Linked DNA regions of Coturnix japonica. The protein of the gene in region 1 interacts with the protein of each later gene in a pairwise test. Links are inferred from orthologs where the notes say so. Each region holds a gene or a part of one and is shown in the gene's direction. Other genes may lie near its edges. The genes, in order: RAB3IL1 and RAB11A.

Region 1 (15,800 bases):
TGAAGGATGGATTTTGGCTGGGCTTGCAGAGCACAAATTCCGGTAACTCCACCTCCCCAGTCCTCATTGTGAGATAAACGGTGCTGAAAGAAAAAAGAGCTTTTATCCAATCATGTGGCATCCTCGCTGCATTTATTGCTTTCTAACCCTGTGTAAATAATTATTTATCATCAGTTAATTGTTGGTCTGACATTCAGATAAACCTGAAGTTATATATAAAAATAAAAGCCAGCGTAATCCGTGCCATTCATGAATAATTATTCAATGCAAAAAATGATGGAATTTCTAAGTTGAATCAAAACACACTGCATAGTTGTTAGACACTGCTTTGGCAATGTGGTTAATAGTAGAGGGGCCTCGGGCTCTTTCCTGAGTTATGGAGATGGGGAGGTACGTCCAGGGCTGATTCAGCCCTTGCTGGTCTGCAGCAGCAGCTGCGGGCAGGTGAACTTGTGTCCATCCTCTTCATTTAAGCATCCCAGTGAAAGACTTATAGTTAGGTGGGGAAAATTCATGTCCAAGACAGCTGGTGCCGTGAAGATAAACTGCAACGTCTGTTGGCTGATTCAACAAATAACATCTTTGTTCTGACTTTGGCTTCTTGGTTCTGCTCTTCCTTTGGGTTTCCTTGTTGCAACTCTCCCTGAGGCCCCCAGTGATTCTATCGGAGGGGCAGAGCTGGCACCTGCCCTGCCAAGAGCTCCCCAGCTGCACAAATGCCCCTTTCACTGCAGTCTCATACACATTCACGCCTCTCCCATGTGTATTTCTGGTCAGCGCACAGGATTGAGAAGTGTTTTGTAACTGCCCCGAAGGCATCACACACATGAGCTGTACAGATGAGAAATGTATGGAAACACATGCAAATGTGCTGGGGGCCGCTTACAGAGAGCAGAGTGTTTGCTTTAGGCTTTGGGTCTTGAAAGTGCTCAGGGAGACTCTTCATTGCGTAATTCAAATGCAGATTCACTTTTTACCAAACATGGAAAACTTCAGCTCTTGTCTATGTAAGTAATGGATGTCACCCACCTCTGTGCAGTTCTGCTCAGGCACGGGACGTGAGGCTCTTCCCAGTGCTTCTGCCTGCAGTCCTGTGCTCTTAAGGCAGCTCCATGCCTGCCAGCCTGTGTGCTTGGCCCTGGCTGTCACTTGGCAGCTGGCACACTTGCAGTGCTATGTGGGGTTGAAGTTGGTGGTGTGAGGCAGCTCACTACAGCACCGTCACAATGGTGCTGGTGAGGCAGAAGACCCGTCCCTGCACAGAGCCCACAGAGCCCAATTCCCCATAGGGAGATGGGGAGCACGGCACTGCCTGTGCGTCTGCTCCCCGTCTCTGCTGGCATCAACTTGGCAGGTCCCCCTGAGCTCACTGCTGCACCTGGGGATCAGCTGACACTGACCAGCCTTTGGGAGTCCCCAGCAATGAGGATATTGCAGCAGCAAGCCAGATTTGTCTGTGCAAGTTGTGTTACCCGCTGCATAATGCTGCAAGTGGACACGAGCGCCTATTGCAAGTGCAGGGAACAAAGAGATACAGTGGACAGAGAAAAGCCAGAGGAGTGATGAGCGCAGATGCACAAGAAGATAGACAGACTGATCAGCTAATCTTGGAAGGAATCTTTCCGCTCTTGTGAGGATACTCACAGTCACGGGCTCCTGAGCTGCACTGGAGACGGTGGAGGTTTGGTCCTGCATGTGTCCTCGCTGGGTCCTTTGTGGCCAGCACCACAGCTTGCCTTTCCTTGCCCCCTTGGCTCATGGGGGGATTGAACCTGACAGACGTGGTGTACTAAGGAGCCTGAAACCCACTTGGGAGCTGCAGCCGGTCACTTGATGCCATAATCCTTCCTCATTACAAAAGAGACTCTGTTGTCTTTTGCCCTGTTCCTTTCTAATCTTCTGAGTAAGCCCTGCGTGTTTATAGAGGCGGCTGAAGGAGGGGGAGGCAGGGCTGGCTGCTCCACACTGCTGCTGCTAACTCCTGGCACAGCCATGGTGGCTGCCAGAGGAGAAGCATTTTCTGCTAATTCTTTCCTGTTTGGTCCCTTTCTCTGTCACAATCTTCCGGGAGCCCCAGGAGATTATGCAGAGCTGGAATTTTGCACAAATGTTGTAACGTGTGTCCCCCTTTGGGGCTCGCACAGCCCTCTCTTCCCCAGGTGCTCCTGGATCATTTGGTTTGCAGAACACCTGACCCATGCTCTGCTAGGCTCTCAGCAGAGGTTTCTCTGTAATTCACTGCCTGTCTCCCTGTCCCTGCTGTCCTTGAAGGAGGGACTGATCCATTGCAGGGACAGAATCTGGCACTTGTCCTTGTTAAGCTTCATGCAGTAGAAGATTGCACAGCCATCCAAATTGCCAAGATCTCTCTGCCAGGCCTCTCTATTGCCAATCTGTTTTAACATCCTAATTTAATATAACACACAAACTTATTTAGTATACATCTGAGTTCCGTATCTAGAGCACTGATAAAAACATTGAAGAGAAATGGCCCCAACATGAAGCCCTGGGGAACCCCACTAGATACTGACCACTGATCTGGTGTAACTCTGTTTTCTGTAACCCTTTGATCCTGACCCATCAACCAATCATTCACTCACCATATCCATATTATTTTTGTGTCTAGTTGTATGGTGGGCATTTCATCTAGAAGCATAACACAGTATTGAAAGCTTTGCTTTTCAGCTAGGACCTCTACAGATTCCCAAGACCATAGAAAAATAATTGCAGCTCCTTGGCCCTGGAGTGAGAGGTGACATTTTTGGGGCTGAAAGGAGGGCAGGGCAGATGAGAAGAGACAGCACGATGCTTCTGCTGTGTGAGATATAGAAGAACAGGCATGGGGAGGGCCATGGGGAGAAATTCACATTCACGGTATGGAGCAAGATAGAGCTCTTATCAGTGGCCAGATGCTGGTAAGTAAGGGGTTGCTTCACTGGCCCAACCATAGCAAAGCCAACTGACTGACTGATGCAGCACACAGCTTTGTACCAGCCCTATCTGTGAGTATCACGAGCAGTGTTCACCAGGACATAAAAGCCCAGCTGTCCTGCCCTTCTGAAGCCTTATCCCTGCCAGCAATGAGGCAGAGTGACCGTGGTGTGGCTGTTACCCCAGTGTGAGCAGCACCTATCTGTGACAGGAGGTGAGGTGCCTTGGTTTTGCAGATGCTCTGGGCCAGTGTCATTCCTGAAAGTCACACTGCACTGCCTGTATTAACTGCTTTGTTGTGGGGCTGAGCTTGCTGCAAGGTCCCTGAAACACTGCTGCTGGGTTCCAGCTGCTCCCAAAGGATTTTTATAGCAAGAATCATAGTGCTGTCATCCCAGCAGGGTCCCTGAATGACTCAGGATGATGAAAATGTCTCTAAACACCCAAAGAGTTCCATGTATGGGGGAAGACATGAGAGAGCACAGGATTGGGCTCTCTCTGGAGGCAGGGTTGTCCACATGAAGGGTCAGGGTCTGGGGAGGACACATGTCTTTGAGATACCACTTTGCATACACATCTAGAGAGAAGGGATTACTAGGCAGGCAGACAGAGATAGTTCTAGAGGGCCCCAGTGCCTGAGTCCATGTCCTTTTACATGGCAAGAACAAAAATGGTTCTCTTGATAGATTTTCTGGAACTGTGGGGATTTTCTGTGATCGTGGGGACTCTAAGGAGGAACAGCAAAATCTTGAGCATCCAGCTCTTGATGGAGGGATATGTCCCTATCTGGGGGACTCTGCTGCCCTCCTCTGAAAGCAGCTCATCCAGCAGTTCATATGGCTCAGAGTTACTGTTAGGACAGCACCAAACATCCGTGGCATCTAATAGGAAAGTAAATAACTGAGGGACTACCAGTGTGGCAGCAATACTTGGATCACTTTCTGCATTCCCCGAGGCCTCAGTTCTTCCAGGCCTGAAGCAAACTGCCAGTCTGAAAGCAGCAGAGGAGGAGCAAGGATGCACTGACGTCCATCCTCAGTCTCGCTGCCTTCCCACTGTCCTTGCAGGCCCTGGAATCCTTCCCATTTTCTCCATTTTGCAGATGTGCAGATTGGGTTACTGTGACGGGAAATGAATCCCTCCCCCTGTGCTGACTGAAATTCATTTGCTGCAGCTGCCTCCGGGAAGGGGACAGAGCCCTCCCTGCAGTCTGACAGAGAACAAGTGCTTTTCTCAGGACACCACGGGTGTCAAAGCCCAGTGAAACCCCTCTCCCATCTCTGCTTTCAGTGCCAAGATAGATGCTGATGGGTTTTATTTTTTCAAACTAACACTCTTCCTCGGAGTGTGATGTAGAAAAAAAACACCAAAATATGAGAGTATCTGAGGAATTGCTGTTTTTATAGACAAGACTGACTCTGATGTTTGAGCTTGCCGTGAGCCTTTGGAGAGGATGCAGTGACCATCAGTGCTTTTGTGAAGAACCTCAGGCCTCTCACCTTTACAATGCAGGATTTGTGGCAAAAATCCATCTCATTCGGGACCCATGGAACTCAGGACAGGCTGAGGGTGCTCAGTGTGTGCTAATTGCTGTCTTTGAGGACCATGTACTGTTTGGACAGTCCTTTCTTTCCAGGTTTCCCAGCTGCTCTTCTTTTTCCTGTCTCAATGTCTCTTCCTCTGGGCTCAGGCTGAGCTCTTCCAAAAAACACTGCTGTCAGCAGGGAGCAGCAGCCGAGATCTGGCAGGGGTCAGCAGTGCTTCCAGTGCCACAGCAGGACTGTGCCAGGCTGCATCTGCCTGAGCAACACAGCTCTGCTACCCCCAGACACAAGCCTTGTTGCTCTTCTTTCTCTGCTTTTTCATTCTCCTTTTCCTCCCTGTTGCCCTGGGAAATGGGCAGCAGTTTGTTTGGTGCTTAAGGCAGATCTCGTCTGTGAAACTGGAGATCTTAGCCCCAGAGATCCCAGAGGAGCCTTGCTGGAGCCCTCCTCACCAGTTGAGCAAACATGCTGCATGGCTGGAGGGAGGGGAGCGAGTGGGCGGATGGATCCTGGAGTGTTACACTCTTGCAATAACATCCGCTCTGAGTTTGCTGGGTCAGGGCCCTACTCCTGCTTTTCAGCATCTACAGCCTTCCAGCCCTCCATCAGACAACCCGGCTGGAAACATTCTCTTGCTGCCTTTTGGACTCTGGAAGCAATTCTGCCTTTCTAACCCGAGGACCCTCCATGCTGGGAGTTAATCATTACAACTGATTAGTTCTGGTGCTGCCTGCAGAGCTGCGGATCTCCCCTTCCTCACAAAAGCTCCCAGCAGGTAACAAAGGTTACAGCCACGGATGTGGCCACCTCAGACACTTTGCTCTGGCACCTCAGATGATTACGGACCAGATGGGACTGGGCTGTAATATAAGGGAATGGCCTCCAGCTGTGCCAGGGGAGGTCCAGGTTGGATATTAGGAAGCATTGATTGACGGGAAGAGCGGCGATGCGGTGGCACGGGCTGCGCAGGGAGTGGTGCGGTCACGGTCCCTGGGGGTATTAAAGGACAGGGCAGCATCAGATACTCATCCCACAGCCCCCCTATGGGGCGGTACCCCCCCCAAATCACGGCGTGCTGACGGCAGCGCGCACGCGCATCCGCGGGGCCGCGCTTTAATCACGTGGCGCCTCGCTCTGCCCCCTCCCGTCGGGGCGGCCCCGCGGAGCCGGGCGTGCTGCGGGAATGGCGGTGGCGGGCGCTGCTTCTCCGTCCCCTCCGCCGCCGTGATGCGCCGGGGGCACGAAGCGGGGTAGGTGTGCGGGCGGCGGCTCCGGCCGTGGGTCGCTGCGGGGCCGCCCGGGTAGAGACGCGCCGCGTCCGTGCGTGCTGCGGGGCGCCACGCAGCGCTGTCAGCCGCCGCTCCCGGTGCGGGACGGGCAGCAGCCCGCAGGGAACGGCCGTGCACGGAGCCGCAGGAAACTGCGGGGTCGGAGCGGCAGGAAGCTGCAAAACTGCCGAGCCTGCACTTTTTTTGTTTGGCTTTTTCTGCGGAATCCAACTTGGGCAGTTTGTGCTGTGCTCGGCTTTTTTTGCTTGCCTTCCTTTTTAATTGCTTTTTTTTTTCGGTTCTCCTTTGCCCTTTTCTCGCGCCTGGAGGACGGGTAGGACCCGGCCCGGTTCCCGAGCAGCGCAGCCCATCGGGGCAGAGCGCAGGTGCACCGCTCCGTCGGGTGCCGTCGGCTCGCTCCGTGCCTTCCTGCCGTCCCTCCCGATGCAGCAGCGCAGCGCTCTCCTGTACTGATAACTTTCCTCCGAGAGCTCGAGTCACGAGGAAACGGCTCTTATCTCTTTTTTCCCTTCCTATTCCATGCGAATAGCTGGACTCTTAGTAGCTAAGCGGGCTGTTGTGGTGTCCCTTTCTCTCGTCTCTTTCTTTCGCATCTGTTTGGTCCTGATTTCGGTTTTCCCTTTCTGCTCTGTTTCTTGTCCCCTTCTGGCCGTCCTAGGGAGCTTCCTGGCTAATGCGGGAGTCCCCGAGCCGTGCGCTCGCTGCAGTTTGCCTGTCTGATCTCTGCAGGGAGGGATTCCGCGGGGCCATCCGAGATTTGGTTTAACTATTGAACGAACGCCTCTGTTTGGAACGCTCTCCCTGCTTCGTGGCAGATCCATCGCAGAGAACCTCCCCTGGCTTCGTGCGGCGAGGATGAATTGGTTTCATCGAGTCTCCACCTTCCCGTGATGGGCTTCGTTCCTTTCCATTGGGTCGTTCCTTTGCTCGATACCTCCCCTTCCTGAGTGGGGCCCTTGGAGACCTCCTCGTTCCATAGCAATGGCCCTCGTTAGGTAAGTGCTGCCTTAGCTCATCTTGACCTTTCACTGATTCCCTGAATGTGTCCAGAGAACAGCTTGACTACAGCCAGTGCTGTGCTGTCTGAACACCATGCAGTGTGCACCATAAGTGCTCTCTCTTGCACTTACAAGAGTAAGTGCTGGCGTGGTCTGGGAGTTTCCACTGGTTACAAGTTGCTCACTCAGATCTATGCATCCGTGTGTGTATATGGCATTTTTATCGGCAGCTCCAGCGTGCTGAGTAGCTTCAGATTAATTATCTTTGCATGGCAGTGCTGTCTGTCGTTTTCCCTCCCCAGCGTGCTCCTTTATGTTATTTATTATACTTCCTAATAGCATTTATCACCAGAACAAGCTCCTTCTAGACCTAGTAAGACCAGGTCAAGTCAACCGTTCCTTCTGAATCCTTTCCTCCCTTCCAGCACTGCTTAAGCTCTCTTACTTATTCTATAAAGAGACTGGCAAAATCTATGACACTGACTGCATGCTGCCCCTTCCCAGTTCTGTCCAGTTTGCATGGCATGGCATCGTGGATGGTCCTGTACCCTTTCTCATCCCATGGCTCAAAGAGGTTTCTCTTAGTGCGCATTCACACCACTCCCTGTGGTACCTGAACTTCTTTGCAGGAGAAGACAGCTGGCAGACCACACTTTCTGCCACGTGGACAGGCATTCAGGCATGTGTTTTCCTCTTGTAACACACCAGCAGCTGCAAAACCTACCCAGCCTCTTCCTGCCCTGTGGGGTTGAAGTCTGGATCTGAAGTGAAGGGGGTCACGGTCTTTGTATTGCTATGGAATGTCAAAGCTGTACTGTTTTTTTTCTTTGCTCCTCCTGTGGTTTGGGGAGCAGCGTCCCTGAACTTAGGCCGATGGAGTGTTTGCTGGAATACTAAATAAGCCAGCTGTGGTCTGTTTTTCTCTGAAAATGCTCAAGAACGGCACTCCTGGAATAGCTGTGTTTAGTCTTGCTTTGTCCTGAGTTAAATGTCTGAGATGTTCTGTTTGGGAAGGGTAAAACGAGGTGTTATAACTTTGCCTACTTATGTTTTGTGTGTAGAGAGTTGTCTGTGAGGCAGTACTTTGCTGTTGAGAAACAAGCCCTTCTTGCCAGGAGTGCAGGCATCTCACACTGTACTTGGTGCGATTATTGAAGATCCCAGGATAGCAGAGATTTCCTCCCAACTCATTGCTTTGGGTCACTGTCTCCTCTCTGTTGCTGTTCTGAAAGGAATTCATGTCAAAAGCGCGAAGTAATCCAGTAGGGAAGCAATATCTGTGTGTATATCTGGGATCTTTTAAGAAGGAAGAGAAGAGAAATGGCCAGGCTGTGAATTTTGTATGTCTGTTCTGCCTTCAGTGTTTGCTTAGGGTCTGTCTGAGCTATGAGGGACTTCAGGGCTGAAACTCACAGATGAGTGTTCCCCATCTTCATTTGTTCTGATTTGTTTGATGCTCACGCCTGCAGCAAATGAATCTGACAAATATTTTTCCTGGCCTTGGCTTGTATTTAAGAGAGGGCAGTACGAGGAATCTGGTGAGCGGCTTGTTTAACCATGCTTGTAACAGTATTTGTGCATGAGCAGCTTATTCCAGTTACATTTCTCAGCTCTCTCAATCTCTGTTTGAAGAACTGGCTGCAAGAAGATGGTTTGTTTGACAAGGATTTATCCTTAGAAATTCTGCTGAGGGCAGGCAAGCCCAGCCAGCAGGCAAAGGAGCTGGTGCAGCTCTGGGACACAAAAGAGGTCCTCTAAGCCAGTTTCTTTGTATGCCTTCAACCTGCCTGCTTCACTCCTGTGCTCTTGGGAGCCTGAAGGTGCAGCACAGCTCACTACTGAATGTCCTGTTCAGTACGGTACCCCTCAGCCTCCCTGAAATGTTGGGTGAACCCAGGCTGGTTTGTCTTGCTGTTGCCTCTGAGGCTGTTTCTGAGCCTGGCAGGTTTGCTGATCACCCCCACACACAGTTTCACTGTGCCGGTTCCCTACAGCCAGACCCATTTTGAGGAAGACAGCCAGGAGCAACCAGCTGTGGGATACTGGAAACCACTAAAGCCATCCAAAGGCAGCAAGGAGGAGCCAGAGACTGGATGCCAGGATGCAGGCTGTGGGGATGACAGCCAGTCCACTGAGCAGCGCAACGTCTCGCGTCTCCGCAGCTCTTCGGTGGAGATCCGGGAAAAGGGCTCTGAGTTCCTGAAGGAAGAGCTGCACAAAGCACAAAAGGTAAAGCCTAGAGCCTGTGAGAAGAGCTGAGTGTGGAGGCACTGAAGGACATGGTCTAGAGCAGTCACAGGCATGGGTTGGTTGTTGGGCTAGTTGATCTTAGCAGTCTTTCCAACCTTAATGATTCTGTAATGTGGAGCCTAGTCATAAACGAGCAATTCCAACCTGAAAAGCCTGCTGCAGCTTGTGGAGGGATGCTTCTGGTGGCACAGAGTGCTGTGACAGGAGTCTCAGGTCCAGGATCAGTGCAGGGGTATGGAGGGGAAGGGGTGTGATTTGTAGGTGAGCCCAGGCGGGCATCAGCACTGCTGGGGCCTGCTAGCAGCTCATGCATCCCTCTCCTATTTCCTCAACAGGAGCTGAAGCTGAAGGACAAAGAATGCGAGAGGCTGTCAAAAGTCAGAGAACAACTGGAGCAGGAACTAGAAGAGTTAACAGCTAGCTTGTTTGAGGTACCACCCTCTTCCTTTTCCCATCATTTCTTAAGCTAAGCTTGCTTCCAATTCCTTTGAGGTAGGCTTTCTCTGAACTTCCAGCCATACTCCTGTTAAACTCCCACAGCTTCCTCAGTCTTTGTTCATTTGCATTTGGAAAGCTGCACAGTGCTGCGGGCAGACCCTCCCAGGGGCTGGTACTTGCTTCTGGGGAGGATTTGCATACGTTCCTTTCCCCCCCTCGCAGCTGTGGGGTGACATAAAGAGCACAGCAGGTTCCATGGTTACAAACCTAAATGAAACCAGACATGGGGATGCCCAGAGCTAGAGGTGAGCGTGGCTCCCTGGCCTTCTCTTGCGCCTGCTCTGTAGTCTGAACAGCATCTGCTGTGGCTTGCTTTTTTTGTTTGTTATTGTTAATTTTTTGTTGTTGTTATTGTTAATTTGATTATTGTATGATGCGATCCCATGATCCCATTTACCAACAGCTTTAATCTGTAGATCTGACTGGACAGTGAGGGAAGCCAGAACCCAGCTGTACCTGTGAAACACAAGCTGGTGCTGAGTGTAAGGTGAACTCAGAAGTTCAGCTGAGGGCTTCCTCCTTCACCTGGTGGCCTTGGGCAGAGTGCTTCCAGGCAGTGCTGTGGGGTGGTTTCATTGGGACTGGTACCACCCACCTCACCCTTCCTGTGGGATGTTGCTTCTAAATTTAGTCCCTACCTGAGCTACCACTCCTGCTGCTGTGCTGCAGCTGTGCTCAGAGCAGTGAGGACTGGCTGCTCCATGTAGGAGTTAGGAACAAAATGCAGTAACGAATCAGGTAAGTGCAGCAGGGCAGTGACTGAATGAGGAGCTGGGATGTGGATCAGTGAGTCTGGATGAGGATCTGTGCCAGTGACAGTGATCAGGGTCAGAAACAGTCTACTGATGAACCAGCAAGTCTGCAGTGGTGACACACGTCTCAAGTCATGCCAGGAAGCTAAGCCAGTGTGTTTGGATCAGTCATAAAAGTATTGGACTACACAATTATGATCTAGCATGGGTGGATGCCAATGTTAAAACCTTGGCTTTAAAGCATATCCCAAGGGCAGGAGGGGCAGGCCATTTCTTCTGGCTTTTTTTGCACCTTCTGTGATTGGAGAAGATAACCTTGGGCTCAGCAGATGAACTGTTATGTTTATCCAGCTGCGCTGTTGGGAAGGGGATGCACTCCATGCCCTGACGCTGAGAGCCCTTTTCTGGGAAATTATGGGGGGCCAAACTCTTCACATCTGTCAGAGTAAAATAATCAGATGTGGCAGTGATGTCTGTGCACCTGCCTGCTTGCACAGAGCATGAACAGGGCAGAGCTTTGGCTGGCCCTAGTGACTGTATGAGATGGGGCTGCCACAGACAGACTAAAACTCTTTCTGGTCTAGGAGGCACACAAGATGGTGAGAGAAGCAAACACAAAACAGGCGGCGTCAGAGAAGCAGCTGAAGGAGGCATGGGGAAAGGTGAGAACTGCTCACTCTGTGGCTTGATTTCTTTGCAGGGTTGGTGTTGATCATCCCTTCCTCTTAGAGAAAAGGGTGTGAGGGGAACCACATAGAAGCAATCTACTGTCTAATTGCTGTAGCCATGTGGTCAGAGCTTGATGAGGGTGCATTACAGGGCTGCTGGATTGGTTCCATCTTGGAAATTGAAATTACTTCTGGGTTATTGTGTCTAAAAAGAGACTGGAGCAATATATACTCAGACAGAGGAGCAGTGGGATAGGTTCCCAGTTAGTTCTTGTTTTCCTCTTTAAAAGTTTGGCTGACAGTGGGCATCTGGGAGGATGGGGAGCAGGCTTCATGAGTGTGCTTGCAGTTGGTTCCCTGCGGCCTTACAGTGTTGGGTGCAGTGCTGAAAGTTCAGCAGATGCTGAAGGTGCTGTTGACTCTTGCCTCGTCTCTCTCAGATCGACATGCTGCAGGCAGAAGTAACAGCTCTGAAGACACTTGTGATCACATCTACACCTTCCTCCCCAAACTGGGAGCTCCACCCTCAGCTCCAGAGCCCTTCTAAAGCCGTCTTCAGGAAAGGCCATGGGCGAAACAAGAGCACCAGCAGTGCAATTGTCACAGCTGTCAGCCAAAGTGCAACTCCAGCACCAGTCAGTCGTGAGTGCAAAGAGGTGGGTGAGGGCTGTTCACTGCACCAGCCTCGGAGCCACTGCTGTTTCTGTGTCTGGGAAGTTTTGCTTGGATCTGACTGAGAGAAGCCATCCATGCAGTAGGCTGGTTTGCTCCCTAAACCGTGCTGATGAGGCAAACTCTGGAGGGTTTCTATTTGTGGAGATTTCCACTTCTGGGAATTAAGTTCAAAGCTGCATTAGGACAACTGCTAGAGGAAGGAGCTGAGGCACCACTGGAGGGTATGGGCAGACCAAAGAGTTAGCAGTGCTGAGAATGGATGTGGTGGGAGTTGCTGAGCAGCAGCCAGTTGTTCTGATGCATCTTGGCAGTTGAGTCTGCTGCCTGTTCTGGCGTGATTTGCTTTTGTTCTTTTTTCCAACTGGTTTGACTTTCAATGATCCAGGGCCTGGTTTTGGGCTCCAAGACTCCTCCACCAACTTCTGTCAACATCTCCATTGATATCTCTTGTTCTCTGTTCTTGGGTATGCCACTGCTTCCTTCTCTTGCAGAGCATATGTTTAATGTTTGCCTTTCTCACTGTGTGAGGATGTGTATGCAGAAGGGCAGCTGGTGAAATTAATATTTCCACCTAACAGGAGGACTGTGCTGTGAAAGGCTGTTTGCAATTTCAATGGATTTACTTTGCTAATTTCTGTGTAGTGCTGTTGTTACTAGTTTGGATGGAACACTTCAGGCAGTATCGGCTGTAGCTGTTCTGGGGCCTCTAGCAAGATGATCCTTAACTCTGTTTGCAGGCAGAGAGGAACAAAGGCTATGTCCAAAAGAAGACTGAAGGAAAAATTAGTTCAATAACTGTGAAGCCCTGCTGTACTTGTTTCTCTTGATCACAGAACAAACCAGATATGCTGGAAGTTGTAGTCAAATACTTAGTTGGCTAGAAGCTAATTTGAGAGCTAGGGAGAAAGTGGCTTTAATCTTCTAATGCCCTTTGTGCTCTCCTGATGGTTACCATTCCTCTCAAGTTATTTAATGGCCCGTATGAGAGGTGGCATGAGGGAACCTGGCATTCAGCTTGGTGCTTTATGGAAAATTTGTCCCATCCTAAATTGTGCCTAGAAGTTGCAGCATTTCTGTTCTGTTTTAGCACATCAATCTGAAGTTGGAAGGTGTAGTTTATGGCCTTGTGATGCCATAGCATCAGTCGTAGTTCCCTGGAAAAGAAGCCTTGAGTCTCTGCCTGTACCTTCTGTATTGTTATGGTTTTTTTACTTCCCTTTCTTGCCTGTCACTCTAAACGTGTTCCTTCACTGTCTGTCTCTTTCTCTCGCCTCAAAGTCTGGGGTGCCTGCTCTCCTCTCTCTGCTCCTTTGTGTCATCCCTGGGAAGGCCATCCAATTCACCTATGAGCCAGGCTGGCAGGCACTGGGGGCAGATGTTTCCTCACCCTTGCGGCAGGTAACTGTACTGGACAGGATTGGAGAGGGGTGGGACCCATCCAACTCTCACACTTTCAGCCTTTCAGTTCTAGCTTCCTTTTATGCTAACCTCCATTTTTGTTTTGTTTTCCTGAATTTGTTTTTCCATGTTGTGGCTCTGAAGCTGTCTGCTGGTACGAGGTGAGCGGTCCCCATAGCATACAACAAGTGTGCTAAGTCTCAGACCTCTTTCTGTTTTGTTCCTTCATGATTTTTGTATTGTTTGGCATGTTTTTGTAGTTCTGTTTCTCCTTTCAGCATCTTTAACAGGATTTGCTGGCCTTTTAAACAGCTGCCCTGTTGGGTTGGTGGTTGGGCTAATACCTGAGGTTTAAACGTCAGTTCCAGAGAGTCTCCAACACTGACGTATTTCCAGTCAGGCAATGTAGGAGGGATCAACCTAATCAAGGCTCTGTCCTTGAGTACCTTGCTGCTGAGGAGTGATAATTCTTGCAAGCCCACTTGTAAAAGGCAGTGAGCAATCGCAGCAATCAGGAAAGTTATTCCCACTCAGGTTTGATGTTCCACTTGTTCCTGCATGCCAGTGAGATTGCCCAGTATTCCCATTACTTCCTCAACTCCCCAGATACCAGAATTCTCAGTTGAAGTGGCCTTTAAAGGGCTGGCGTGCTCTGTTATTTGGTCTCTCTGGATGTAGTCCTGCTGATATTAATAGCTGCTTTTTTTTTTTTCTTTTCCGTTTTTCATCCTTTTCTATAGCAGTCCTTTCTTAAGAAAAGCATTCTGTGTCTGGGTGTCGTTACACTGTGCTTTGCCATTCAGATCCTCTCGCTGTTTCTGCCATGGGCACTTGCTCTGTTCAGCAGTTGTGTGGTGGCTTTTCTTCAATTGTGGTGCTGCCTTGTCCTGGACAAAGGTGGGAGAGATGCAGGTTTCTGGCAGAATGTGCCCACCTTGGCTGGATGGGTCTGGCACACATCTGCAGATGGGTGAGAGACAAAAGGTCCTTGGAGAGAGCCAGCTTCCCTCAGGCACTTCTGTCATACTTGAACCTTTCTAGATGCCAAAGTAGATGTTGTATAGTTAAGTTGCCTGTGCATTAGTTATCTTAGACATGGTATCTCTTACTCTACCTACCTTCTGTCTTCCTTCTTCTCCTGAATATTTACTGCAGATCGACTCCATTTTATTTGCCGAGTTCCAGTCCTGGAAGGAATCTCCAACTTTGGATAAATCCTGCTCCTTCCTGGACAGAATTTACCGAGAAGATGTAGGACCTTGTCTGGACTTTACTAAGCAGGAGGTGAGTGCTGGTAACTGAGGACAGAAACTGCATGTTCTGGTGGCATCAAAGGTGCATCTTTAGGGAGGTGACCTTTGCACATCCATATCTGCAGTTATTTCTCTTTGCTGCAGCTGTCTGAGCTGGTGCGAGTGGCTGTGGAGCAGAATACACTTACCATTGAGCCTGTTGCTTCCCAGATGCTACCTGTGGTGGTGTCAGCAGAGGACTCTGGTGGGCCAAAGTAAGGAACCTTTCTTGTTCTTGTCCCCTCTTTGCTATTGGTTTTCTCTCACTGCCTCATGGAGTTGGCTGAGTCGGGTACCATGGCTCAGCTGAGTGTATTTCTAGCCCAAGATTAGTGGTAGTTGAGTTCCGCTTTCTGAACTCTTCACCAGCTGATGTAATTCTTCTTGGATATACTGCAGTTGAGTGGCTGGGAGATAATGTAATAATGTGCTAGTGCCCTCAGCTTGGAGGAGTTTTACTTGTTTTCTTTTCCTACTCAAGAGATGAACTTCGTTAATATTCTCTGAAAGCTTTTGCATAACGTAGGGTATAAGGGCTGAGTTAGAGCTGCGTTATCTCACATTCTTGTATCTTTGACCCCCAAGCTCACCTTGTGCTGCTGACATTGCTGGTGCTCCAGGTGGATTTGAGCTTGGCTGAACTTTTCCTCGCTGCATATATGTAATCTTTCCCTCTTGATACTGTGTCTGTGTTTGATGTGACAGATGACTTAGGTTGTTTCAAGGAAGAGGAATGCTGGCAGGAGCAACATCATCTTTCAGAGTAAGACAGGGGACTTTCAGTTATTGAATTTGGTTTCATTTGAGGCTCTGTCCCTTAGTTCTTCCCCCTTCCCTTCAAGCACAGCACCTTCCAGGCAGTGGTGTTCCTGTAATGAATGTTGCTCATGTGCAGGCTTCCTACTCCTCTCTTCTACATTTTTTTTCTCATCTCTAGACAAATTGTTCCCCCAGCATGTGTCAGAGCTCTGCCAGGACCAGCCCATCCTGTGTTTATCCTTGCTGGTTTCCTTTCAGGCTTTTTTCCCTCTTCACAATGTGTTCCAATCATAAATTGTAAAGTATTACTAGGTGATCAAGGATGGCTGATCTGTTAACAGTAGTTTAGTGTGATTAAGTGGCTTTGAGGCTAGAGCTGAACTAACCAAACTCTTTAACTCTATTTAATTTCTACCTTGACCAGGTGTTAAGGAATCTTGCTATTGATTATAAATGGGTTTGATTTGTTCCCTGGATAAAAATGCAAGGTTTTGCGGCACCTTTGGTTGTGCTGTGTTGTAGAAAGAAGAAAGCTTGGTCCCTTTCACCCTATGGTACAGACTTCATTGCAGTGCTTTTAGGAGTGCAGGCAGCAGCTGAGCTTGATAGCAGTGGAAAGCAAGCACCAAGGTGTTCTCAGAAGCTTTTTGGAACGTCTGCTCCTTTGTATGTTGTCATCCTCCACAGTTCCCAGAGTAACTTTTGCAGCTGAGGAATGGTGTCCCTCTTCCAGCCATGCAGCCATT
Region 2 (15,288 bases), on another chromosome or scaffold:
TGAGTGAGGCCTTTGGAGCCCTGTTGCTGTCCTGGCACAAACCCTGAGGGCACAAACCCTCCTGGGGCTGTGCTCACCCACTTCACAGCTTCAAGTTCCCTTTTGGCAGGTCTCATTTCCCTCAGGTAAATGCAAATATGTATGCATGCATATTTTTAGCTGCTTTTGCTTCCATAGCCCTCATTCTGAGGGTAGCTTTGCTTTCTCTGTACTTTACTACACAGTTGAAATAATGCAAGTATAAGGTACAGTTGCAATAATACAAATATAGTTGGAAATAGACAGCTAGAGGGTATCCAAGGATAAGGACTCACCAGTTCTGAGGCCTTCAGTCAAGGCAGGTGCTCACCAATGTAGAGACTCACCACAAGAACTCCACAGATGAACAATCTCCAGACAAAGATGCCACCACAATGGTGGTCAGCCCTTAAATGGACTCTAGGAGAGGTGGAGTCAAGGTCTAAATTACCTTCACCTTAGTCAAGGCTAAATTACCTTCACCTGTGCTCCCACAGCTGGCTCATCACTTGCCTCAGATGGTTAATCAGAGGTTCAGGCTGTGATCAACAGTTTCCCTTACACTCTATTTTGACCCTTCTACAGACAAAGTTCCGATCTTTTCCCTTCCCCTCAGCATCTGGTCACTATTTCAGCTTTGTACCTGATGGTCCCAGATACCATTTTGTGCCTCATGAACTCAAATATCTCGCTGCTATCTCCTTCAAGAGCAGTGCCACCATTACAGAATCTCACACAATTATAGGCTTGAACACTGCTCATGTCCTGGGCTGTGGGAAGACCTGTAGGACCTGGTGGGCTTCTCCTTAACCCACCCCAAACTGAGCAGTGCTGAGAACTGTGGAACCAATGCCCTGTTTTACACTGTGGTGAGAAGGATGCCCATACCTCACACGGGATAAAATACAGCCAAAAGGATACAGGAGGTGTTACCCTGTGTGTGTGAAGGACCCTCAATGGGAAAGGGAGACAGGAGTACTATGGGCCATAGTTAGAACATATAGGGGAAAAAAAAAATACACTTAAAGTGAAAAAGTAGAGGTCTCACTGAGATTTGAACTCAGATCGCTGGATTCAGAGTCCAGAGTGCTCACCTTTACACCATGGAACCGCGGTGACAACCACCTCACCCGGCCGCCTCTAGTCCTTACTCCGCAGCACGTCGCGCTCCCACCGCGGCTCGTCCCGGGGCTGTGACTGCTCGGCGGACCCAGCGGTGCCCGGCAGAACTCGGCTGTACCGGGCCGAACTCGTAGCGTGCCCCACCGGCAGCACCGTCCCTTTAAGGCCGGGCGGGGCGGGAGGACGGAAGCAGCTCCGCGGCGCTGCCCCGGAAGGAGCTGGCCGTGGGCGGGCAGTGCGGAAGCGCTGAGGCGGCTGCAGGGAGGGGTTCAGCACCCGCTCCCGTCCCCGGCCCCGGCCCCGTCCTCGGCCTCCGCCACACCTCGCACCATGGGCAACCGCGACGACGAGTACGATTATCTCTTCAAAGGTAACGCCCGCATCTCCGTGCCCACCCGGGGGGGGTCACCAAGCGGCTCCGGCCCTGAGGGCCTTATCACAGCGGGTGGGGAGCGCGGCGAGAGCTGACGGCCCTGGGTGGGCTGAGGGCGGCGGGCGTCACCGTGTCCCGGCGGGTGGTGGCGGAGCAGGAGCTGCGGGCTGAGCTGTGTCACATCGGGGAATGATGCAGCTCATTTAACGCAGCGTTGTCTCTCGCTGTCTTTAGAGCCTCGTTCACAGCCACGAGCTGCCGAGACGCAGCGCTGGAGCTGCAGGCAGCGCCCGGGCTCCTTCTGGGAGCGCTGCTCGGCTGTTGTGCTGTTGTGCTGCCGTTTCGATGCTGCTTTTGTAGTGAGGTTCAGAAATTGGGTCTTTGAGGAGCTGTGGAAATAGCTGCTTATTGCTGTTATTACGTTGGGAAGTGGGATGTCGGATTTGGAATGTCTGCATTATAATAATGAGAGACAACAAGCTTGAGTGGTGAATCTTGGGTACTTAAAGGAGAACAATATTCTGTTCTGTATCCTTAAGCTCCAGTAATAACTTCAAGGAATTACAGTCTCATTGTCTGTATTGTCCAGTTTCCAAGTAGAAAACCTTGACCTGTAAGTCAGTCACTTGCACTGTTTAAGGTGAAGCCAGGCAGCATTAAGAAGAGCCTGTTTTCCCAGCTGGCAGCACAGGCCCTGCTGACCGCCAGCGTCATCACGTCAGCAGTTTGTTTTGGAGCCCGAGGTGTGCAGGTTATCGGAGGCGTTTTGTTACCTGTACTGACAGAACTGTGTAAATAAACTTAGAATTAATGCTTTGACAGCGGTGGGAGTATCGGCCATGCAGAGCTTCTTGATTAAACCGCAAAATAATACGGTTGGGGTTCATTTTCATAAGGGGGAGGAGAGGGAGGAAATCAAAGCTAAGTGAATTGATTGCCATTCCTAAAGCTTTTCATGTTGGAGTAACACATGGAAACTGCTGCAGTGCAGGGAGTGATAGGAAAACGGTCTTGTGGCGATGAGTGATTCAGGTCCTCCAGAGTTAAAGCAGGAACTCCATGCAGTGCTGCATAGCTGGGATTAATGTGGCAGCTGAAACAACATATCCAGAAATGCAGTGTAACCAAAAATTGTGGAAACAGTTCTGAGGACCCAGAGGAGCTGGTGTTGCCAAGTAGTCACTGCTCTGGAATGATCTTGGAATTAGTGAGTGGTTGTCTGAAATCGCTGTCTTGTTACCAGGCACTGCCCCAAAAGGCAAACAGTCGAAGTCCTTGGAAGAGGAAATGAGATGGTAGGGATCATTCCTCCGGTGTGTGAGCCCAAAACAGGAATCCCCTGGGGACTGCAGGAACATGTGGGCAGTGCAGGTGTACCAGTTTTGAAGGCAATATTGCAACTAAGAAGATGCAGGAGGACATCAAAATAATCAGTAGGTTGACCCATATTGAAGTGACGCTTTATCAAAACTAAAAGCAATAAGGAAAGAATATAAAGTCTGTATGTGGACTTCGGAGTAGTTCGTTGCTGTAGACAAAAAGCATGCATGGATTTGGAAGACTGTAGAAACTCACAGAGGAAGAGATGTGTTGGGCACCTGGGTGTGCTGCTTACAGCGCTGTGTCTGGGGGCACTGCTGCTTGAAGATGGGAGGGCTTGCTATGCAGAGGTTGGCCTGTTTGTTCTGTTTGTTGCTGTCAGACTGGTCTATCAGGATGCTCAATCCAGGCAGGCAGTTCATTGGGGTTCATGGACTCGGAGGGATGTTGTTGGTGGGACTAACTTCAGGTTTTGATGTGCTGTAAAAGAATCCAGACATATTTTCTAGCCTGGCTGTCTCTTATTGCTCTTGAATTAAACTGCTGTTAGTGTGTTTGTGTGAGGTCTCTCTTCTTGTCCTGTTAACAGCAGCTCCATGGCAAAATCTGGCTGCTGGTGGTGTTGATAGGAGCCCACTTGTGCTGCTGCAGTTTAATTGCAGTAGCTGTTGTGCTGCCCCTTCCTGGCTCCACTGCAACAGCACTTTAGTATATGCTCAAACCTAACAGGCCAGGCTTAAAACAAGTCATTTTCTGGTAACTTCTTCATGTCCAGCTATGTGTGCATGTGTGTCCTTCCATGCTAAACCAGCTGGTTTCATTGAGAGAACAGAGCTGGTATCCCCCAGCAGCATGCTGCAGGAAACCCAGGGTCTGTGAAGCCCACTCCATAGAATTCTTGCTCCAATTTTAACAGGAAGAGAATATAAGTGTTGACATGAGGCTTAAATTATTGAGTAATATCCTTACTGAAGTGCAGCAACTTTTAACTCTTTGATTAATGTATTTATGGTTAATGAGTAGGAGCCAAACCAGCCCTCACTTCTGGAATATGTCTTTGGTGTTTTTCACAGACAAAGCTCAGGAGGATTAGGTTTGTACCCTGACCATCTGGAACTTTGGATTTGAGGTCAGCTTTCTTGTTTCCGAATGCAGACCTGGCTTGTAGCGGCATTCAGCTGATTGGTGGAAAAACTCCTGTTTCAGCTATCTGCTTCCTTGTTTGCGTCATGTTTATTACTCCAGCTTTTTCCTTTGCTGAAGGAAACTGAATCTGAACAGAGCTGCTGTTTTGACTTCAGACAATGCATTTTTTTCTCGTGTTTTTGTTACAGAAGTCTGTAGGGAAATGCAGTTGAATGGCAGGTAGTGATTCTTACAGTGGTAGCAATCCCTGCTCTTAGATGTGGAGGCTCTTTTGGGCTGAACAGACCTTCTTGCTTTGCTGTTATGCTGCACTCATGTTTTGGGTGGTGTGTAGTATGTGTGGGTAACAAATAAGCCTTACCCTAAGGTGCCTTTGGAGCATATGACGCTTTGAGACAGAAAATGGATGATATAGGTGATGGGGAGACTGATGTAAGACACGATCACATTAGGTTTGTCACCAGCTGGCTAGGAGATATGGAATCAGGTCATCTAATTCTCATTCCCTTTAAATCCCAATTGAAGTAGGCTGGAAGAAGTGTTCAGTAGGGTCTTGTGGGTGTCATAATGTGTTCAGGCTCTTTGTTTATCTGCCTCTTAGTAGCAGAGCTCAGTGCAGACAGGAGTGTTCTCAGACACTGTAACCCCTGACATGTATTAAATGGTGTAATAACCTTCCTGCAGCCAGAAGCAGCTAACATTGCTAGACTTATTTTCAATCTGATTAGGATGTCAGTAGTGTATTTTATGAGCTAGTAGAAATTCTTAGAAAATATTTCAATTAGAGGTTTAACAGAAATAAAATGTGAGTGAGAGTTGGGATGTTGGTGAAAGATTAATACATCTCTAAATGGCTCTTCAAGCAAGGAAATTGAATTCTTATTTTGGTCTTCTACAGAAATAAAACTGGGATTGCAGAATGAAATTCATACAGTCGCATGGACTGCCTTATTCTTTTTGTCCACCACATGCTTTGTTGCAGTGCAAAGTGCTGTGGGCAGTAAATGCATCATTTCAAATAGCTCGTGGTCGCACACAGTGAGCTGCCACATCACTGAAGCAGCAACAGGGAGCTGCCTGTAGTCAGCTGGGTTAGGGGATCCCTCCTGCTCCTCTTGGGTTATTCTCAGGCTGTGCCAATACTGGTGCCAAGAAGGTTATGATGAAGAAGGTTATTATGAAGGATGTATTTGAGAATTCAGCTTATTTAGGTGGTAGAATGAAGCTGAGAAGATGCGGCTGCTTTCTGTAAATACATGAAACAGCATAAACACCGCTGGGAGAAGAAACTAATAAGCTAATGGGCAGTGCTGGCACACAAACACTGCTACCAGCTGACCGCTAATTTCTTCTGAAAATTAGAAGGCAATTTCTAACCATTAGAGTGAGTTTCTGGAAGAGAAGCCCAGTAAAAGCTTGTGTGCAGGAACAATTAGCTTTGATGTGGAGTTAGATACCATCATTTCCCTCTCGAACTGTTTGCCTGTGATAGTTAAGAGTTGGGCTCAGGCATTCAGAGTCATTCCTGCTGTATTCCTCTGCTGAGAATGCAATATATGGGAACGCTGTGTAGTGTGAAATATCAAACTGAGGTGGTTTGATAAGGAAAGCAAAACGACAATTAATGAAATAATCGGAGCGATGGTTAATGCTGCTTCAGTTCATCATTGCATCCAAAGAACTGGTGGAAATGCAGAAGGTGTGAGGAGCCTTAGGTACCCGCTGACACTGCAAGCTGTTCCTGTGGCCCAATTAAGTAGAGGAAATAGCCGGCTTCAAGGAGGAAAGTAAAATATTTCCTCTTTTAATTGAGACACGTTAATCTGGCACTGGAGAGCACTCAGACATAAGTGGTGTGGCACTTAGATGAGGTGAGGAAGAAACCTGGTGGAGGAACTGCCCGAACTGTCCTTGGAAATGTGCAGTGAACAGCAGAAATACTTGTGAGGGCGGTAGGTAACGGATGGGATACGGCCTCTGGGGAACACAAAGTGATGCGTGTGGACAGCTTTCCTCATCTAGACAAGTTTTCAGCCCAATGAATACATTTATCCCAATGAATATAAGCATGATGTCATCTAAAACTGCAGCCTAAACCTGCTGAAAGAGTATTGAAGATCTTATTTGCCAATGGAAGAGGAAACGTGTGTCAGTTTGCCTTGTGGTGATGATGTAATTAGGTACCCTGACCTCTGCACTGTCTTTATCACCCTTGGGCATCCTGTGTGCCAGGGAAGCTGCTCTGTTGTGTCAGGGCAGCTGACACCAAACCCTGCTGAACTGTCATGTGGGCAAACAGATCCTGTTTGCATTCAGTGTACGTGCATGCCACTCTCACTGTGGGTCCTCCTAAGAGAAGTGTTAAAGCTGTTCTTTGCTTTCTGCAGCCTCAGACGCTTGGCAGGCTGCTCGCTGAGTCAGCTGCTGGAGGGGCTGCAGTGTGTCGGTGAAGCATTCTCTGTAAGGCTGCGTGAAGCTGGTGTTCGCTGCAATTCTCATTCTGTGGAAAGAATTTAGTAGATGCTTCTCGGCTCTTACAGTGAGGGAAAGCCCCGTTTGTCACAGTTGTGCATTATGTAAATAGGGAACGGTGGCCAGAACTCTGCTGTGTGATGCAGCAAACAGTGGGAGGTTTTATGCTGCTGGCCTGTCTCGCTCCTGAGCTCAGTGGACTCATTCCTCTGTTGTACCACACAGCGTAGTTAACACTGTGCTGCAACATCTTAAAGCTGAAATGATGTTTATTACTGTACAAACACTTATTTTTTTTTCCCAAAACAAGTAGAGTTGTGCTGTTTTCTTGTCACCCATGGCTCTCCTGCAAGGATGTGAGGGGTGTAGAGTGAAGGCAGCCTGCCCCGTGTGCTGGAATTATGCTTCAGCAAAACACCTCTGTGGTTTTTCTTGTTTTAATCCTAGCGTTGTCACGAGGATGTGAAATCTAAACTGTCTCTGACTTTTGTACTTTGCCATGTGTGTTTTTCCTGGAGGAGGAATGTGATTCAGTACAAAACAAAGGAGACTGAAATGGTAACTGCTGAAAACCATGTCTGAAGTCTGTCTGAAATGCTGGTGTGACAGCACTGGTTATCTGGAAATCTCAAGGCTTGGACAACAGACCCCTGACAAGGAGGGAGGTGGTTCTGCTATTCTTGTCCTTTGGGTTTTATTCTGGAAAACAAATGTATTCATTGCAGGTGGTTGTCAGCAGATATTCTACATCTGGGATGTGATTCCAATGTCATTTCTTTCTTCTAGTTGTCCTTATTGGAGACTCTGGAGTAGGCAAGAGTAACCTCCTGTCACGCTTCACACGCAATGAGTTCAACCTGGAGAGCAAAAGCACCATTGGAGTAGAATTTGCAACAAGAAGCATTCAAGTCGATGGGAAGACAATAAAGGCTCAGATATGGGACACAGCAGGGCAGGAGCGATACCGAGCTATAACATCAGCGTAAGTGGCAGCCTGTATGGCCGGAGAGAAGCTTTTGCTGAGGAGGGTGAACTTGGGGCCCTTCTGATTCCTCAAACTGCAGAATAGGATGGTTTTATTTTCTCTTATAATATCTACATATAATATGGGGAAAGGAAGCTTGAATGTTATTCTGTCCTGAAGCTTGACATAGTATGAACAGATTTACTTCTCACTGCTCTCATGATATGTAACTGGAGGCGTTTCTGAGCTGAGAGACTTATTTAAATGCAAGTCACTGATGAAATAATAGCTGTGATGATGGAGGTTTTATCAGTGGTAACCTATGACCAGAACACCTCCTGTATCAGTAGGGAGGCACTGCTCACTTTGTGTGTTTAATGAAAAAAACAGCACAGCTAAAGCTCGATTTGAATAAAGCTGGAGGTAATTGTGGGGTGGGAAAGCACAACCTCTTTCTTTTTGAATGTGTAACTGTGCCTCTCCCTGGTCTGAGAGGAAACCAAATGGGGCATTTCATAAAGAGAACACATCAAGTTGATGGTTTTTTTTTTTTTATGATCCAGTGAGTCATTATAAAGTCTTCCTGCTGCTCCGGGCTGTGCCTGTGCTGCACCCACAATGGTGGGTGGGGAGCCTTTCAGGTGTGGGTCAGAGGCTGAAGGTGACAGTAGATCCCCCACAGATACAGTGCTTCATTTTTGAGGTGCAGGGTAACCCACCAGCCCCTGAGCTGCCCTGGCTGCTGTTGTGGTCACACGGATTAACCCTGGTCTGGATGCTGTATTTCAGCTGCTTCAAGTCCCATGTATCATGCTGTGTGTTATTATTATTTTTAATATAACTGTCTTTGCAGTAGTGGGAAACAGTTATTACTCAGTAGCTTGTCACTTTCCATCATGTTTCTTGCTGGTTCTGTAACACATCTCTTCACCCACAGGTACTATCGAGGTGCTGTAGGGGCATTACTGGTGTATGACATTGCTAAGCACCTTACTTACGAGAATGTCGAGAGATGGTTGAAAGAGCTGAGAGACCACGCAGACAGCAATATTGTAATCATGCTTGTGGGAAACAAGAGTGACTTGCGCCACCTGAGAGCAGTCCCTACAGATGAGGCCAGAGCTTTTGCAGGTTGGTGAACTCAAAAGAATTTCCTAATTCAAACTGTCCAGACTCTGCCTACCTGATGTGAAATACGTGAGTGTACAGGTAGGAGGGAAAAGACTCAGTGCCACGTACTGCTGCATGTCTTTTTTCATTCAGTTAAAATTGAAGTCCTATAGAGCCTGTATGCTGATAGACTCTCAAGAATCTGCCAGAGGCACTTGAAAACAGTTTTAAAACAGACTTAGTTCCGTGCCTATGCATTGCTTTTCTTGTAGAAGCTCTGCTGGTGGGTTTAGGTTTGTGTTTTGTGCATGGTTTCAGATCATAAAGAGGAAAACCCTACAACTTTTAATGCTTTTTTTTTTAGCACTAATGCATCTATCTCATCAGCAACACCTCGTACGTTGTCTGGTACAAAAGTTCTTTTGGATGGGAGATAAATGTTATACATCTCTAATTATAGTATTTCTGTCCACACAGAGAAGAATGGTTTGTCATTTATCGAGACATCTGCTTTAGACTCTACAAATGTGGAAGCAGCTTTCCAGACTATTCTGACAGGTGAGTCATCTAATACTTTGTGTTTGGAGGAGGAAGGGCAGAACGCTGCTCTGATACGCAGCAAATAGGCATTTATTTGCCTATAAAGTGTGTAAAATTTAGCAATTCAATCATTCCTCACAGCTGTAATATTCAGACGCTGCTTTTGAAGTGTCATAGTTGATAGACCAGCACAGGGCTTGGGAATGAGTCTGGTCTTACTCACTTTGCTCTGCCCTGGGTTTCCAGTCCGCCTGGTTTATGTGCTTCACTTTCCCATTTGTGGAACAGGGAGTGGCTGTGTGAGAGAATTGTCTGATGCCCACCTCCACACAAAATGGCTATTGTCAGAGGAGAACGCAATCTACCTTGTTTCCATCACTATTAGTGAGCATAACAGCTGCCAAGAAGTGAGCAGTACTGTAGTCTGGGACGCAGTGACTCCTGAGTGCAGGGTGGTTGCTGTCAGTGCATATAATAAACCTGGCTGGACTTCTGGCCTTTGTAGCACGTGATAGCACTGACTGGTGCTGTTTTCATGCTCAGTGGATGAGGTACTTCCTTTTTGTTTAACCCCTTTGTCTGATAGGCGTAACTTCTCGCTTCTGTGACATTGGCAGCTAGTTAGATTTTTTTTTTTTTTCTCTCTCTCTCTCTTCTTGGCAAGTAATAGATACTTTCTTACACAAACGCATCATAAAGGACTTTTTAGCCATATTGGAACATGCAGTGCGGGAGGTAGCTAGAAAATTAATAAATATACATTCTGGAGCATTTTCTTGGGTTGTTTGAAATATATTATGAGTACCCTTGCAGTGGGGGGGTGGTGAGAGAGAGATCTAACTGCCCTCAGCCCCTTCGTGGACCACTCTGTGCCATTGCAGTGATGACTGGTGTGCTCTGGGCTGCTGCCTGTCTGTGTGATGCTCAGATACAGTATACTGCTGTTGTTATGGAGAAGCAGTTTACCTGTTGGGCACGCACTAGGCTGTTTCTTTTCTCTCTCCTGGTATGCTTCCAACAGCACTTTTTTATTCCAGAAGTTATTTTGGATTCTAGTTAGTGGAGGTTTGATATGCATATATATATAATATATGTATTTTTTGTTTGTTTGTTTTTCCTGGTTTTATTTCTGGAGGATAGCAGTCTGTAATGTGAGAGCAAATGATTAAGATTAGCCCTCAGTGGACTCTGACAGAGTGTTGGGGCTGTTGCTTTCTGAGAAACGTCAGGGCTCCCTGTGTTGCTGTGACAGTGTTTTGAACTCTTGGGCATGCGGACAGAATCCTTCTTGAGGAAGGGCTGGTTCAGCTGTGCTGGAAGAAACACTTCTGTTGATTAGTGGGCACATGGTTTGCTCCAGACATCAACTCCTGTTTCAGGGAGATAAAGATGAAGTAAATAATACATTAGCAGAGGCTTGCCTCCATCTCTGCTGTAACTGGCATGCAAAGGATGAATGTTCTGCCAATAAACTTCTTGATAACACTTCACAGCTGGCTATTTGTGTTAATGATTTGCTTTGAAGGAAAGAGGTGAGCAGTCATCTGAGGAATGTGGTTTTCAGAGTGACCCTGTGGAATCATGGATAGTCTGTATGTATGTGGCTGGGTTGCCTCCAAATGTAACCCTAGATGAATACTTGCTGTCATTTGAAGAAGAAAGTTGATAAAGCCAACAGGCTTTGCCACAGGCATCGTGTGGAGGAGGCTGACAGAAGGGGCAGGGCGTGCTGCTGCACCAGCTTAGTTAATATCTTCCATGCTGGGAAGAGTGCTGCAAAGACATCTTAGGCTGCTGTCAGTGCCTCTCAGCTGCTTAGATCTTTCCTGGACAGGGATGTCTTGACTGAGATCTGGAGCAAAACTCCTTTGTTTCCCTGCCCTACGGAAGGTGATCTGGTTGGGACAGTGGTCTACACCTAGATTCTCAGATGAAGCCACCTTAGGTCGATAGCTTTGGGTGTAGGAAACATGGATCTATTATAGTTAGCACAGTCTTAAGTGAGTGTGTGGTCTGTTGTTACAGATGGTAGCAGAAGAAGAAAACTTTCCTTTTGTCTTGCTGTGTTATAGATTTGCTGGAGAAGGGCAGTGGGGGGGGCAAGGCATTAAATCTAGTACACTTCCTCTCCTGTTGTTTGTACTAGGTGAGTTTTGGGGACCTTTTCCTTCTATGGCTTAGAATAATGGTCCCTGTCCAAGCTCCTCTGTTGTAAGATGTCTAGACTTCAAGGGCTAATTCTTGTGCACACAAAGCTGCTTTGTATTATTTGGCAAATATGAGAGACTGGTGTTTTAATCTTATCCCCTGTGAGCATTCACAGCAGGATAAAGCATCCTTAAAGTAAACTGGAGTCAGCCTCCGCTCCCTGTCTCATTCAGTGCTGCCTCTGTTTCTGTACCACATTCTTCTGTGGTTTCATCTCTAAGGAATCCCATCTCCAAGGAAACAACATCACAGAGTACTGACATTAAGAACATTTCATAAGAACAGAACAAGAGGGATTTCCTCTTTTTGTTAGATCTATACACCTGAAAATGAATGAAATACTAGCCCTGGTTGAACAGACAAGGGCTGGGCAAACAGACAGCAGTTGTTTTTGTTGTTTTTTTTCCCAGCTCTTACAGCACAAGGCCTGTCTCACATGGTTACCAATTACGCAGAGAAGCATTCTGCTGACTGCGCTCTTAATAAGGTCTCTTTCAGTTACTGAGCAGAGCATGAAGTGTAGTGTCTTCATTAAAAAGTACGCATCTTCATTAGCTTGGCATTCCTCAATACAGATCAGTTCCAGTGTAGGCTTTGCCTCTGGGCATTTTGCTGCAGGAAAAGCAGGTTTAAGCTGTTCCTACCTCCTCCATCACACCAACACAACTATGTGTGGTGAAGGAGTGCAACTGTCATGTAGGGCAAAGTAGTTTTTAACCATTCAGGCTTTGATCTAGAGCAGCATCCTGCGTTTGCACAGCAGAGGAGCAAGAGGTGGCAGTGAGCAGAAGTGGAGCTGCTGCAGGTTGACTCGAGCAGTACTGCTGCTAGATGTTCTAGCAGGTCAGAGAGTGAGGATCAGATGGAAATGCACCAACCACAGCCAGAGGAGAGATCCCCTCTATCAGCAAAAAAAATTAGCACTGTTATTTTTAAGACTTTTGTTACGTGCTTTGAGATGAGGATGTTATGCAGAGGACATTGCTTATAGGGTAGGGGTGGAGGAATTGTATGACAGCTCGTGTTGGAGAACGATATGAACTTAATCAGGAAGCTGCAGGTATATGGAGCAGAGAACTTGTCCTGAAGAATGCAGCGCAGATCTCTTCCAACTGTGCTCCCTCTATCTCTGCACATGTGCCCTTTGCCTGCCATGGGGCAAAGCTGATCTTTATTTCCAGATTCCCCCATAGGCTTACAGGTGGCTTTTAAGATCTGTTGTTGTACGCTTTCCTCAGTCTTGCTAAGTTGTTTGTACGACATGGAAAGAACAGGGAACTTCACAGCTGATGAAATAAGAAAATCTTGCTTTGTGTCTATGATTTGGTTGCATCAGTGACCTGATCTTAACTGAATGTATTCAGAAGATCCAGCTTTCTGAGCAGTCTTGCTATGTGAGTTTGAGCCCTCACTCTAGAGGCCGGACAAACAGATTCTTTACAGTGCAGCTTGCAAAGGGCAAAGTTCCCTCTACAGACAATAGATACAGCACATTACCTGTGAGAAATTATCACTTGGTCAGCACTTACATGGATGTGTGCAGCCCTGCTCTTACTCTTCCTGGGGAGCACCCAGCCTGTGTTTGTGTTGGCAGCTTAAATCAACCCAAGCTTGTTGCATCAAGGGCAGGGTTTGCAGGCCTTGTTTATCAGGAACCTTTTTTAGCTCCTCAGTGCCATCGGTTCTCATCACAAACACAGGCACATAGCTGTGTGACCAGCCCTTGGCAGTGAACAGGACTTCTCTACACAAGGTTACTCGGTTTCCAGTACTGAAATGATGTCAGGATGTGCACTAAGCAGCAGCTCCTTAAAATTCTGAACTACTCAGTAATGACAAATCTCTGGTGGGAAAGAGGCATCTTGGTCTGGGGTCAGACAAGGTGCTTGGACCTTCAGTATCCAGAGACTTTAGACCTACAAAAGAATTTGAACCTTTGTGTTTCACTGAGGCTATTTGCTAGCAGTGCTCTGCTCTGCAGACGCCCTCTTCTTGTGTGACCTGAGCTTATCTGGAGTGCCCCAGCAGGCAAATGGTGCGGGCAGTGCTGTGTGCTTGGTGCCAGCACACTGCTCTGTTGTGTAAAGCAGATGTGGTGATGTCATCTCAGGGTCGGCTTTTTGCTGAAGCTGGAACACTTTTAATTGTTTTGAATTTGCAAGTGAGTTCCCAGCATTCTATTTTTGGTGTCCTTTATTTCCTTTCTGGGCGAAGTGCTACACGTCACGCTTCTCTATGCATGCTGAAGGGAGTGGCTTTGTACCTGCTCGCAGTGTAAGTACAGCACATACTATTGGTCACAGGCAAATCCCAGGGACCTGGCAAAGCTTTCAGTGCAGGCGATAGGAAAGGCAGGGCAGTTTAACCTATGCTTTCTGCTGGGATTTCTTTGTCTGTAGTCAGTCTTCTCCACAGTCCTGAAGCTGTTCTGCACTAACACCGTGTTCTGAGAGCCACGAGATCAACTGGAAGGATTTGATGGTATAACATGGTGGATTCTCCACCTGTACTGAGAATCTGGATCTGTCTTTTTTTATTGCTTGTGGTAAAGCAGTTGTGAAAGAAATGTGTTTTGCAAAGATGGTTTATATTTAATTTATAAATACAGAAGGCATCACATTTGAACTTCTTGTGAAAGCTGCTGTGCTTATCATTGCAGAAGTGTGGGAAATCTGGGGAAGCCAAGAATTGCAGAAAGCAAAGATGTTTGCTTTCTGATGTTGCTCTGCATGCACGTAACGATGGGCTCTTTCTCATCTTCCAGAGATCTATCGTATTGTTTCCCAGAAGCAAATGTCCGACAGACGTGAGAATGATATGTCTCCAAGCAACAATGTGGTTCCCATTCATGTCCCTCCAACCACCGAAAACAAACCAAAGATGCAGTGCTGTCAGAATATATAAGAATTGTTCACTCTTTCCTAAAAGGCTGTGTATATTCCCCAGGTCCAAGATTTAAATATATTTGTAATTCTTGTGGTTACTTTCTTGTGTTCTGTTACTGCTTATTCCTTTTGAATTTCTCCATGTCTTAAACACTTTGATTTCTGTGTTTATAATCTATTGCTTCTATGTGGCTGCAGTATTTTCCCAACGCTGACTTGTTGATTTTGGTTCAGTAAATAGTTTGGAGCTGAACTGATCTCTTTGCAGCGTGATGCCCGCTAGTCAGAACACAAGATACATTTAGTGAGCACTCGAAGATGTAATTCTGCTCCTTGCAAAACAATTATTGTCAGGTTAACTAGGAGAATATCTCTGGGCAGGATAATCTGTCTTTGTCTTAAGGTGTTGTATACTGCATCTAAAGCTTGATGGAACGCCTGTTGCTCTGAAGTGCAATTTTAATGTGAAGTTAAATGTCTTTGGCTACATCTTCAGACTGTCAAGAGGAGATCTTGCTATAGAATAGCCTGGGGGAGGAGGGGTTGGGGGGGAGTGAGCAAGAATTTCTCTCAAACAAGCAGCAGGGTTCTTGCTCCCAGTGAATGAGCTTTTGTGGTTTGGCACCTGCTGCAGGGGGCTGCGGTGCAGGCAGGGCTGCTGCAGGCGCTGGTGGGACTCACGTGAGCTGCCTTTGTGAAGCTGTGTGTGTCACTGAGGGTCACGGGAACATGCAGTGTGTGTTTGTGCTGCCTGAGGCTCAGCCTCCACAGTGCCAGTGCTGTCAGGGCTTGAGGATGCCTTTTTTCTTTCATGATACACAGACTTGAAGGATGCTGTCACATATTGCCTATCGCATATCAGTACGTGCCACACACATTAAGGTATTCAGATGCTCAAGTTGATCAGTCAGTAACTGCTACAACCTGGTCTTAGTTTTCAGTTCTCTTTCATCCAGTATTTTTAAATGATACCAGTGGTCTGGTACATGTTCTGTAACAACAAACATCTGGAGTAGTTACTGGATGCATTCATTTGGTGATTATCGCTCAGCCCAACTCATCTGCTCACTTAGTTCAGGGATCCATGAACTGTGCCTTCTGTCGCTGCACTCTGAAACCACTGCGTATCA

What was found.
Region 2: the proteins of RAB3IL1 (region 1) and RAB11A interact in a two-hybrid assay, tested with the Homo sapiens proteins (2 studies listed by BioGRID and IntAct). The two-hybrid records come from large-scale screens. The link is inferred for Coturnix japonica from reciprocal best matches to the Homo sapiens genes RAB3IL1 and RAB11A.

What each region holds. Positions count from the first base shown.
Region 1 is NC_029520.1:7,924,875-7,940,674, forward strand, and holds the start of RAB3IL1 (guanine nucleotide exchange factor for Rab-3A), read left to right. Parts: upstream 1-5,581; 5' UTR 5,582-5,725; intron 5,726-6,493; exon of another isoform or gene 6,494-6,579; 5' UTR 6,580-6,745; coding exon 6,746-6,759; intron 6,760-8,756; coding exon 8,757-8,991; intron 8,992-9,347; coding exon 9,348-9,443; intron 9,444-10,846; coding exon 10,847-10,924; intron 10,925-11,370; coding exon 11,371-11,586; intron 11,587-12,883; coding exon 12,884-13,003; intron 13,004-14,158; coding exon 14,159-14,287; intron 14,288-14,400; coding exon 14,401-14,510; intron 14,511-15,800. UniProt on the Homo sapiens protein: Guanine nucleotide exchange factor (GEF) which may activate RAB3A, a GTPase that regulates synaptic vesicle exocytosis. Promotes the exchange of GDP to GTP, converting inactive GDP-bound Rab proteins into their active GTP-bound form.
Region 2 is NC_029525.1:16,448,908-16,464,195, forward strand, and holds the start of RAB11A (ras-related protein Rab-11A), read left to right. Parts: upstream 1-1,357; 5' UTR 1,358-1,470; coding exon 1,471-1,510; intron 1,511-7,237; coding exon 7,238-7,433; intron 7,434-8,352; coding exon 8,353-8,546; intron 8,547-9,002; coding exon 9,003-9,083; intron 9,084-14,037; coding exon 14,038-14,177; 3' UTR 14,178-15,288. UniProt on the Homo sapiens protein: The small GTPases Rab are key regulators of intracellular membrane trafficking, from the formation of transport vesicles to their fusion with membranes.